Drosophila melanogaster: one gene and its partner. The protein of the gene in region 2 interacts with the protein of the main gene of each other region in a pairwise test. Each region holds a gene or a part of one and is shown on either strand. Other genes may lie near its edges.

What was found. Proteins that work in one complex are often made in the same cells at the same time.
Region 1: the proteins of Rbpn-5 (region 2) and CG34213 interact in a two-hybrid assay, tested with the Drosophila melanogaster proteins (one large-scale study listed by BioGRID).

Annotation. Positions count from the first base shown.
Region 1 is NT_033778.4:23,966,558-23,969,356, forward strand, and holds CG34213 (uncharacterized protein), read right to left. Parts: upstream 1,189-2,799; 5' UTR 1,136-1,188; coding exon 1,101-1,135; intron 1,050-1,100; coding exon 959-1,049; intron 906-958; coding exon 612-905; 3' UTR 567-611; downstream 1-566. Other genes in the region: Alas (aminolevulinate synthase), read left to right, coding at 1-91; or (orange), read left to right, coding at 1,463-1,531, 1,596-1,687, 1,749-1,951, 2,009-2,220; CG10904 (uncharacterized protein), read right to left, coding at 2,586-2,799.
Region 2 is NT_033778.4:21,087,839-21,092,951, forward strand, and holds Rbpn-5 (Rabaptin-5), read right to left. Parts: upstream 3,167-5,113; 5' UTR 3,089-3,166; coding exon 3,034-3,088; intron 2,974-3,033; coding exon 2,432-2,973; intron 2,377-2,431; coding exon 1,592-2,376; intron 1,528-1,591; coding exon 1,392-1,527; intron 1,334-1,391; coding exon 1,217-1,333; intron 1,154-1,216; coding exon 845-1,153; 3' UTR 548-844; downstream 1-547.

The sequences.
Region 1 (2,799 bases), 2.9 Mb from region 2:
CTCGGAGAGCTGCTGGCACCAGGACACCTCCCCGGATCTGGAGTGTGGCATTCCCAACTGCCCTCGCCTGGAGATCTCGCTTGCAGCATAGTTGCCTCTTGGAAACACGACTATAAATGAAGCATTCGAATCATAAAGCTATGCCTAAATTATCTGTGCGGTTTTGGACAAATAAACAATGGTTTTGGTGCAATATACATAAATGACGAAATTTCAATTGGAATGGGCTAAGCTGATTGATGACGCTTCTATATGGGGTGATAAGACATGGACTAGAGTGTCACCTTCGCTATGAAGTTGCGTGTTTTTCGAGCCAGCTCCATGCAAATGATATTCAAATTGGGGAATCGCGTGGAAATATTTTCATTGAACCTTGATCCACACTCGTAAGCACTTAAAGGGCTTACCTAGTTTGAAATATTTATATGAAATTAGTCGCATATCAATTTCAGCAGTGGCAGGCTGAATCAGCACAATTATTGCTGATAACCATGACCATCCTATTACGGACCAATGTTTTTGATAATACCACAATAGATAATGATCCGATTTTATACACTTTGATTAGAGAAGATTTTGTACACATTTAGTAAGATCTATTGGGTCAGAGACTAGCCGAACAGCTGGAGATCGTAAACAATGATTCTACCAAATAGATCGGTGCTGGACTCGAAGACGAACTTTAGCTTTGAGCAGGGGTTTTCCCGGACTGATTCCGCAATCTGAAAAAGCTGTGGGGAGTTGATATCTTCTGGGTAGAATGGCTCTTGGTGAACTTGGGCTCCGTCAGCGGAGTACATGATCAGTTCGGATTTTTGGCCAGAGAATCCGCCTTGGAACTGGAAACTAAATCCAGCTACTTTCTGTGGCTCCTCCAAGCTAATGGTAATGAATTGGGGGGTTCCCTGAAATGGCCGTTTGGAGTTATATTCTTTTTTTCCAAATCTTAGGATGATACCTCATCTGAATTCCAAGAAGTTTCTTCCCGCGTATCAAACATGAATTGCTTTCCGTGCTGCTTCACATCTCTGTTTAAAACCGAGCTCACCCTGCAAACTATACGTTAACTAAAGGGAGTTACAAAATAAAACCCAGAGTACCTGCAGCTGTATTTTACTTTTGTCAAAATATTCATAATTCAATAAAAATAAGAAATAAACAAATCGGAGACCGCGAGGTTAAAGGCATTAGAGATGGGCAACAATCAGAAATCCATAGAATTTTTTTTTGTACGGATTTTTAACACCCGATTTAAGAAATTGCTTTAAAAAATATATTTTCCCTAACTTTCTAAAATATGCATGATTCTTATTAGATTTTTGAAATAAATACGTCAGATAAAGATATATCGATATTATAGATGCTATACCAAGTATTGATTTTGCAGCCCTCGTCGAAAAAGCAAAACAGCTGGCAGTTTAAACATTTTCATTTTTTTTGTTGACTTATCTTAGAAGTTGAGATGATAAAAGCCATTCTCGTTTTTAACAATCACGGGAAGCCGCGGCTATCGAAGTTCTATCAGTATTTCGTAAGTACTGCGACATATAATCCATATAATCTAGTTCATAATAAATTGTCACTATCATTTGTAGGATGAAAGCCTGCAGCAACAAATAATCAAAGAGACTTTCCAATTGGTGTCCAAGCGGGACGATAATGTTTGCAACTTTCTGGAGGGCGGAAGGTGAGCAATATTGTTCCCGCAAATTCCTGGAATATCTTAAAGCACCTCTTTCCTCCAACAGTTTGATTGGCGGATCGGATTACAAACTCATCTACAGACACTATGCCACGCTGTACTTCGTTTTCTGCGTGGACTCCTCGGAGAGCGAACTGGGAATCCTGGACCTGATTCAGGTGTTCGTGGAAACCCTCGACAAGTGCTTCGAAAACGTGTGTGAGCTGGACCTGATATTCCACGCCGATGCCGTCCACCACATCCTCTCAGGTTGGGAAAGCTACTTTGGCAATCCATTCAGATTCAGCTATCATGAATTCGTTTCAGAACTGGTAATGGGCGGAATGGTCCTGCAGACAAATATGAACGACATAATGGCCAGGATCGAGGAGCAGAACAAGATCGTCAAGCAGGAAGCGGGCATCTCGGCTGCACCTGCCCGAGCTGTGAGCGCCGTGAAGAGTATGAACATTCCGCAACAGATTAAAGACATCAAGCTACCTGATCTGCCGCAGGCCATTAAGGACTTTAAGTTCTGACAAATGTGCGTCTGATATAACTCTCTCGTCTAATTGTAATCTGTTGAATCTAGTGCTTTTTCGCAGTCCTTCATGAATTTCCAACAGCTGTCGACTGTTCCGTAATATTAGGTCCCACGTACTCTATATAACTCCCCTACCATAATAAAAATGCAAATGAATTACCAGTAGCGAGAACGAGCCTTACGATTTTGATAGCTTAACAATGCGAAGTTCAACCACTTCCGTTCTATATCGAATGGGGTTTAAAATGTACATACAAAGTGTCTTGCGATGACGTATTCGCATGATCTGTGTGCTGCATATATTAAAGATTTATACCTAAAACGGTGTCCGCTGTATTAAACATGTTCATAATTCTACAATCAACTGTTTGTAAGATCATCTTCTTCGCCGACTTCCAGCATAACTTGCATTATTTTCCGCTTCAGCCTCTTGCGCGAAACTTCAGAGTTCAGGTTACGGAATTCACTGGCGATTAGTTCGCCAAATGCGTCCCATTGATCACGACCACTTAATGGTAAGTGGAAGGGAGAGGGAGCAGCTGGAGCTTCGACAGTTCGATTTGGATCAACGAAT
Region 2 (5,113 bases):
AGGTCGTGTTCTATGGTGAGGTAAGCGAAATCGAATTGAAATCTAGCTATCTCCCGGCGACGGGCTAATTGGGTAATCATTTTTCTATCTCTTCCGCAGACAATGTGTGCCAAAACAAGACGTAATTGCTACTCAAGTAGTGTGATTCCCCCCTCCGTGTTTGTGCGTGTGTTGTGAAGTCTGTAGTTGCTAACGTTTTTCGTTGAGTGCGGAGATTGCAGTATTAGTTTATCATTATTTGGTAGTTGAAGTGAGAGTTGTATATACTGAATTTATATGGGCATGCCCGAAATTGTTATTACGTTTTAATATTTAGCAAATACCTATACCAATCCTAGCTCCTCGCAACCAAATGAAGACACAAATACAATTGTTAACAATAATTTACAAACTCTTTTCTTAGCATTTTTAAATAAACAAGAACACAAACTTTATGTTGCATGGCTCGCCTTTGAATTAAACAACTCAATTCATTACTTTGATATCAACTCTATTGCAGGCAAAGTTGGTTCAAGTAGAGATGTGCGGCGACAAACAACAAAAATTTAATTGTTTTTAATTTGTATATTTGCTTTGAGTTAAATTCAGTTACGAAAACTTACCTACGACGAAAGCTAACATAGACAACTCATCGCTTACGTTATGTATAGGGCCAAAATAATGGAACAACAAAATCGGAAATAGACATTGGCAAATGGAAATGGGCATTGGAAAGGTTTGACCTCGGATCGTAATCGTAGTATCGGAGCACAGAAATAGAGCAATAGAGTTCAAGGAGATACCAACTAATCGTAATCGTACTTCACACATAATACACAATCACTTGGGCTTGGAGCCCAAACGCCTAGTTGGACTGCTGCTGCTGCTGCTGGCCTTGCTGCTGCTGCGGCGGCTGTCCCTGACTGAAGTAGGGTGCGGTGTTTGGCGTGAGCAGCGTGTGACAGATATCACAGACTCGGGCCACTCGCTTCCGTGGTCCAGATGGCACCGTTTTCGTTAGACACTTATCGCAGTAGATGTGGCCGCAGTGCCGGCAATGGATCTTGCGCACCATGACCGTGAAGTAGGCATTGCACGTGGGACAGTTGTTCACATCGTCATCGTCCTGCCAACGCACCTCCGTGTCGGCATGCCGCAGCTCCTCCAGCGACATCTGTGGCACAACACAATGTAATTAATTAAGTGAATAAACCATATATTTTTATATCTCACTCACCTGAAGCGTTTGAGATAGTTTGACAAAGTCCTTTTGAACAGTCTCCATGGTGGAGAGTTCCTCCTGTAGTGTTTTTATCTTCGTCTTGTAGTCTGCATTTGTTTTGGCGTACTTTTCCTGTAATGTGATCTGGTTAGCGAAGAATCAAGTGTGACAACAAAATATGATAGCTTACATTGGCCTCTTGCAGCTCAATGATCTCCACGCGACACTCGGAGAGCTGCTTGTTCAGCTCAGCCTCTTTGCGCTCCAGTTGGGTTTTGGTAGTCTCGTACGCTTGTACCGTGACCAAGTGTTCCGTCACCCGATCCCTGAAAATTCATTTAAAACGTGGGCCAAAGTGAACACCACCATAGACAAGAGGTTGTAACTTACTGCAGTGACTTAATATCTAGTTGCATTTTGCGCTTGTAGGCCCGCCTTTCATTGTTGCTCTCCTCCAGCTGGGCCCGCAAGATCTGAATCTCATCTTCAGTGCTGGTGCACTTCTGTCGCTCGTATTCGCTGCTGACGCGTGCTTGGATTAGCTCGCTTTGCTGTCGCAGTATCAGCTCCTGGAGCTCGACGACCGTGTTGGGCAGATTGATATATTGGTTGTCGATCTCCTCGGACGTGGCCAGATAGCGACCGGACAGAAAGTCGTTGTCCGCCTGCAACGTCTCCAGTTGCTTGTTGACCCGCTCTCGGTCGTCGGAGACGCGCTGGATCTGCTTAATAACCTCGTCCTTGGTCTCGAGAAACTTTTGCTGCATGTCCAGCAGTCGCTGCTCGTTGGTTTTGGCCTGGTCACGCAGGCTTTGTACTTCGCTTTTGTGGGCCTCCCGCTTTTCTTGCCACTGGTCCTCCAGATCCTTGCGCAATGCCGCCTCCTTAACCAGTGTCTCCCGGGATTCCACCAGCTGCTTTTGCAGCAGATCCACCTGTTTCTGCTGTTTGTTTATATGGGCACCCAGCTCTTCGGTCTTCTTTTCTGCCAAGCTGCACGACTCGCAGGCGCTCTCGGCGACGTCCATGGACGTGGACTTGTGCAGGGCGGATTCATCGGACGCCGACTTGGCCTGCAGTTGCTCGTCCTGTTCGCGCAGCTTCACTTTTAGTGCCTTCATCTCCTCCTGAAGCTGCTCGACAATTGAGTGCATCATCTCCGCCTCCTCAGGAGCCTGCAATATAAGCTCAGTTAATTTGATAGTTGAAAGATTAGTCCCGAAAACATACGTATTGCTTGCCATTGCCCTTGCTCGATGCCCGGGTGTCCTCGTCCTGCTGAAAGCTGCTGTTCAGGGAGTCGGTGCCCAGTTTACGCACAGAGCCTAGTGTCTTCTTGACCTGATTGAGCACCTGCGGCGCTATACCGCCAGATGACTCGGCCTGCGGTTGTTGAGCCATCGTCTGCTGTTGAATCTGCTGGTACTTGCCCAGCTCCAGCCTGAGCCGTTCCACCTCGCCTTTGTAGTGCGCGGTCTCCTCGATAGTGTCCTGCACCAGCTGCTGCAGCGAGGAGATCTCCTCCTGCGCCTTGAGGTCCCTCAGCTGCAGCTCGTTCTGCGACTTAAGGTCCGCCACCATTAGGTGTGTCTTCAGCTCGTCCAGCTCCGCCTGCAGCTGCCGTCGCTCCTGCTGGCTCTGGCTGACCTCCGCCTCCTTCTGGATGTACAGCTCCCGCATCTTCGCCCGCTGCGTGTTGAACTCGTTCTGCATTTTGCGCATCTCGTTCTGCAGGTGACTGAGTTTGTGCTGGCTGGTCGCGTCATCCTCACCTGCCGTTGGAGTTATGGGTTAGTTATCGGCTGTTCAGGCTTCCTGTGGTGCTGCCTTACCATTGGGCAGGTCCGTGGGTTCCCTGGCCTCTGACCGGGTCTCGTTTTCTTCCATTTTCTATATTGTGTGATGGCCAATTTATTAGTTTATATGTACATATGTGAGCGCACCAATTAGAACATATACATTTGAGCGATTTTCAACACTGCTCTTGGTGTTACCATATTTGAATAATACCGATAGTTAATACTTTAGTATTGCTTGGCAGTGCCGTTAAAAAAGGTTTTCAAAATCTAACTTTATTGAGCTTGATAAACATCTTTTGGGATTAAGTTTTCTATAGAAGTATAGAAAGTTTAAAATATTTACTTACAGATACTTGGTAAAATAGTTTTAATAATTTCCCTTCGCCAATTTGCAAATGTATTCTTATTTTATGTCCTTTTAATGTGTCCTTTTTAAGAACCCGTTTTATTAAGTTAAAAGTCGGAATCCTTTAAAATCACTCCTTTGTCCTTTTATATCTTAGTCTAAAATCTAAATCTAGATATTCCTCGAATTTTTTGTTATCATCAGCCATCAGGAACTATAAATAGAAAAAGAAAACAAATGGGTAAGGAATATAAATAAACAATACCATATAATTTAAATTTGTATAATGTTTATAATTGCATCTTAATCGTTCTTAATTATTTAGGATTTTCTTAAGCATTTCCTAGAAAGTGTTTCAACATTTGTGTGTAAGCCAAATGACAACGGCAGAATATATTAGACACAATTCTATGAAAAGGTAAATGACTGCCGATCATGAATGACTAATACCGTCAGTTCTTTTAATTTTATGCAAATTATTAAGCGCCAGAAACGCGAGAAAACGCTAAGAGCTGATAAATTATGAGAGGAAAATGAATACTTCAATAATGCCTAGCTAATGAGAAAACATATTTAAATATAACAATATAGCAAACTATTTGAGATAACAAAACTACGCGTTAACCAGAACAAAACTCGATTTCAGAATTTCGGCATCGGCTGAGGAAGCCGAAAACTTGACTAATTATAAAATTATCATGGCTGTACACTACCAGAAATTGGAAAACATTTTAGTCGATAGGTAAAAAATAATTGTACGCTGTAACTAATGTTAACTTTAAACATTTGTTAACCACCTTATAGCCAATAATATTAATTAAATCATAGCATTAGGCATTACATAGACCATTTTTTTCGTCAGTGTACGCTGAGATCCGTTGGGTCTTCTAGGTCTTGGACTTGTTGGCAGGCTTGTGAGCTCATGACTTTCGATGTCGTCATAGTCGGCAGCCGGAGATTCGTGGCCGATACAAATACTACAGCATTATGCCCAGCGACAACAGCAGCGATGTTGGCCAAAATATTTGGCGTCTGTTCAGTTCGCATTGGATTCAGGAACGAGGCGGTCGGAAGCGGGAAAAAAAAGTACGCGAAGAAATAAATACGCGGCGCCTTGGAATCGCGACGGCATTTCTACTTATAAACTTAAAAATAATACAAATATATAAGTACAACCGCCGCGATATATGTATGTGAACGGAACTTGAATAATGACCATAAAGTGCCCAATGTTTTGAGTTCCTACGGATATCAATTAGAAAATTGCAAAGCGAATCCATATAGATTCCCGGATATACCAAAAAAAAAACCGACCATGTCGCAAACCCAGAGCATAACACCCATTCCCAGCACACCGCCGCCTTCACGGCGGGCAAATCGACCGCCCAGGATCAACATCCACAATCTGACCAGCGGATCGGCAATGAGCCAGGCATCGATGCCACCCAGTGCCCAGCCACCCTATACGGCCCAAACGAACTTCACGGGCAATGGAACACAGGGACCCTACTGGCCACCAATGGCCAATCCCTTCGGATACGGCAACTTTATGACCAAGGGCTACGAGGGCTTCCTCGATATCACAAAGTCGGGCTTGAGCTTCGGCGAGAAGATGACCTTCGGCATGTACAAGTGGTCGCGCCGATGGTTCACCCACATCTTCCTCATCCTCATCCTGGCACTATACAATATCGGCGGTGCCGTTGTATTCCGCACAATCGAAGGTGAGATCCATGACCCAGAACATCCAGCTTCTATAGATCAATT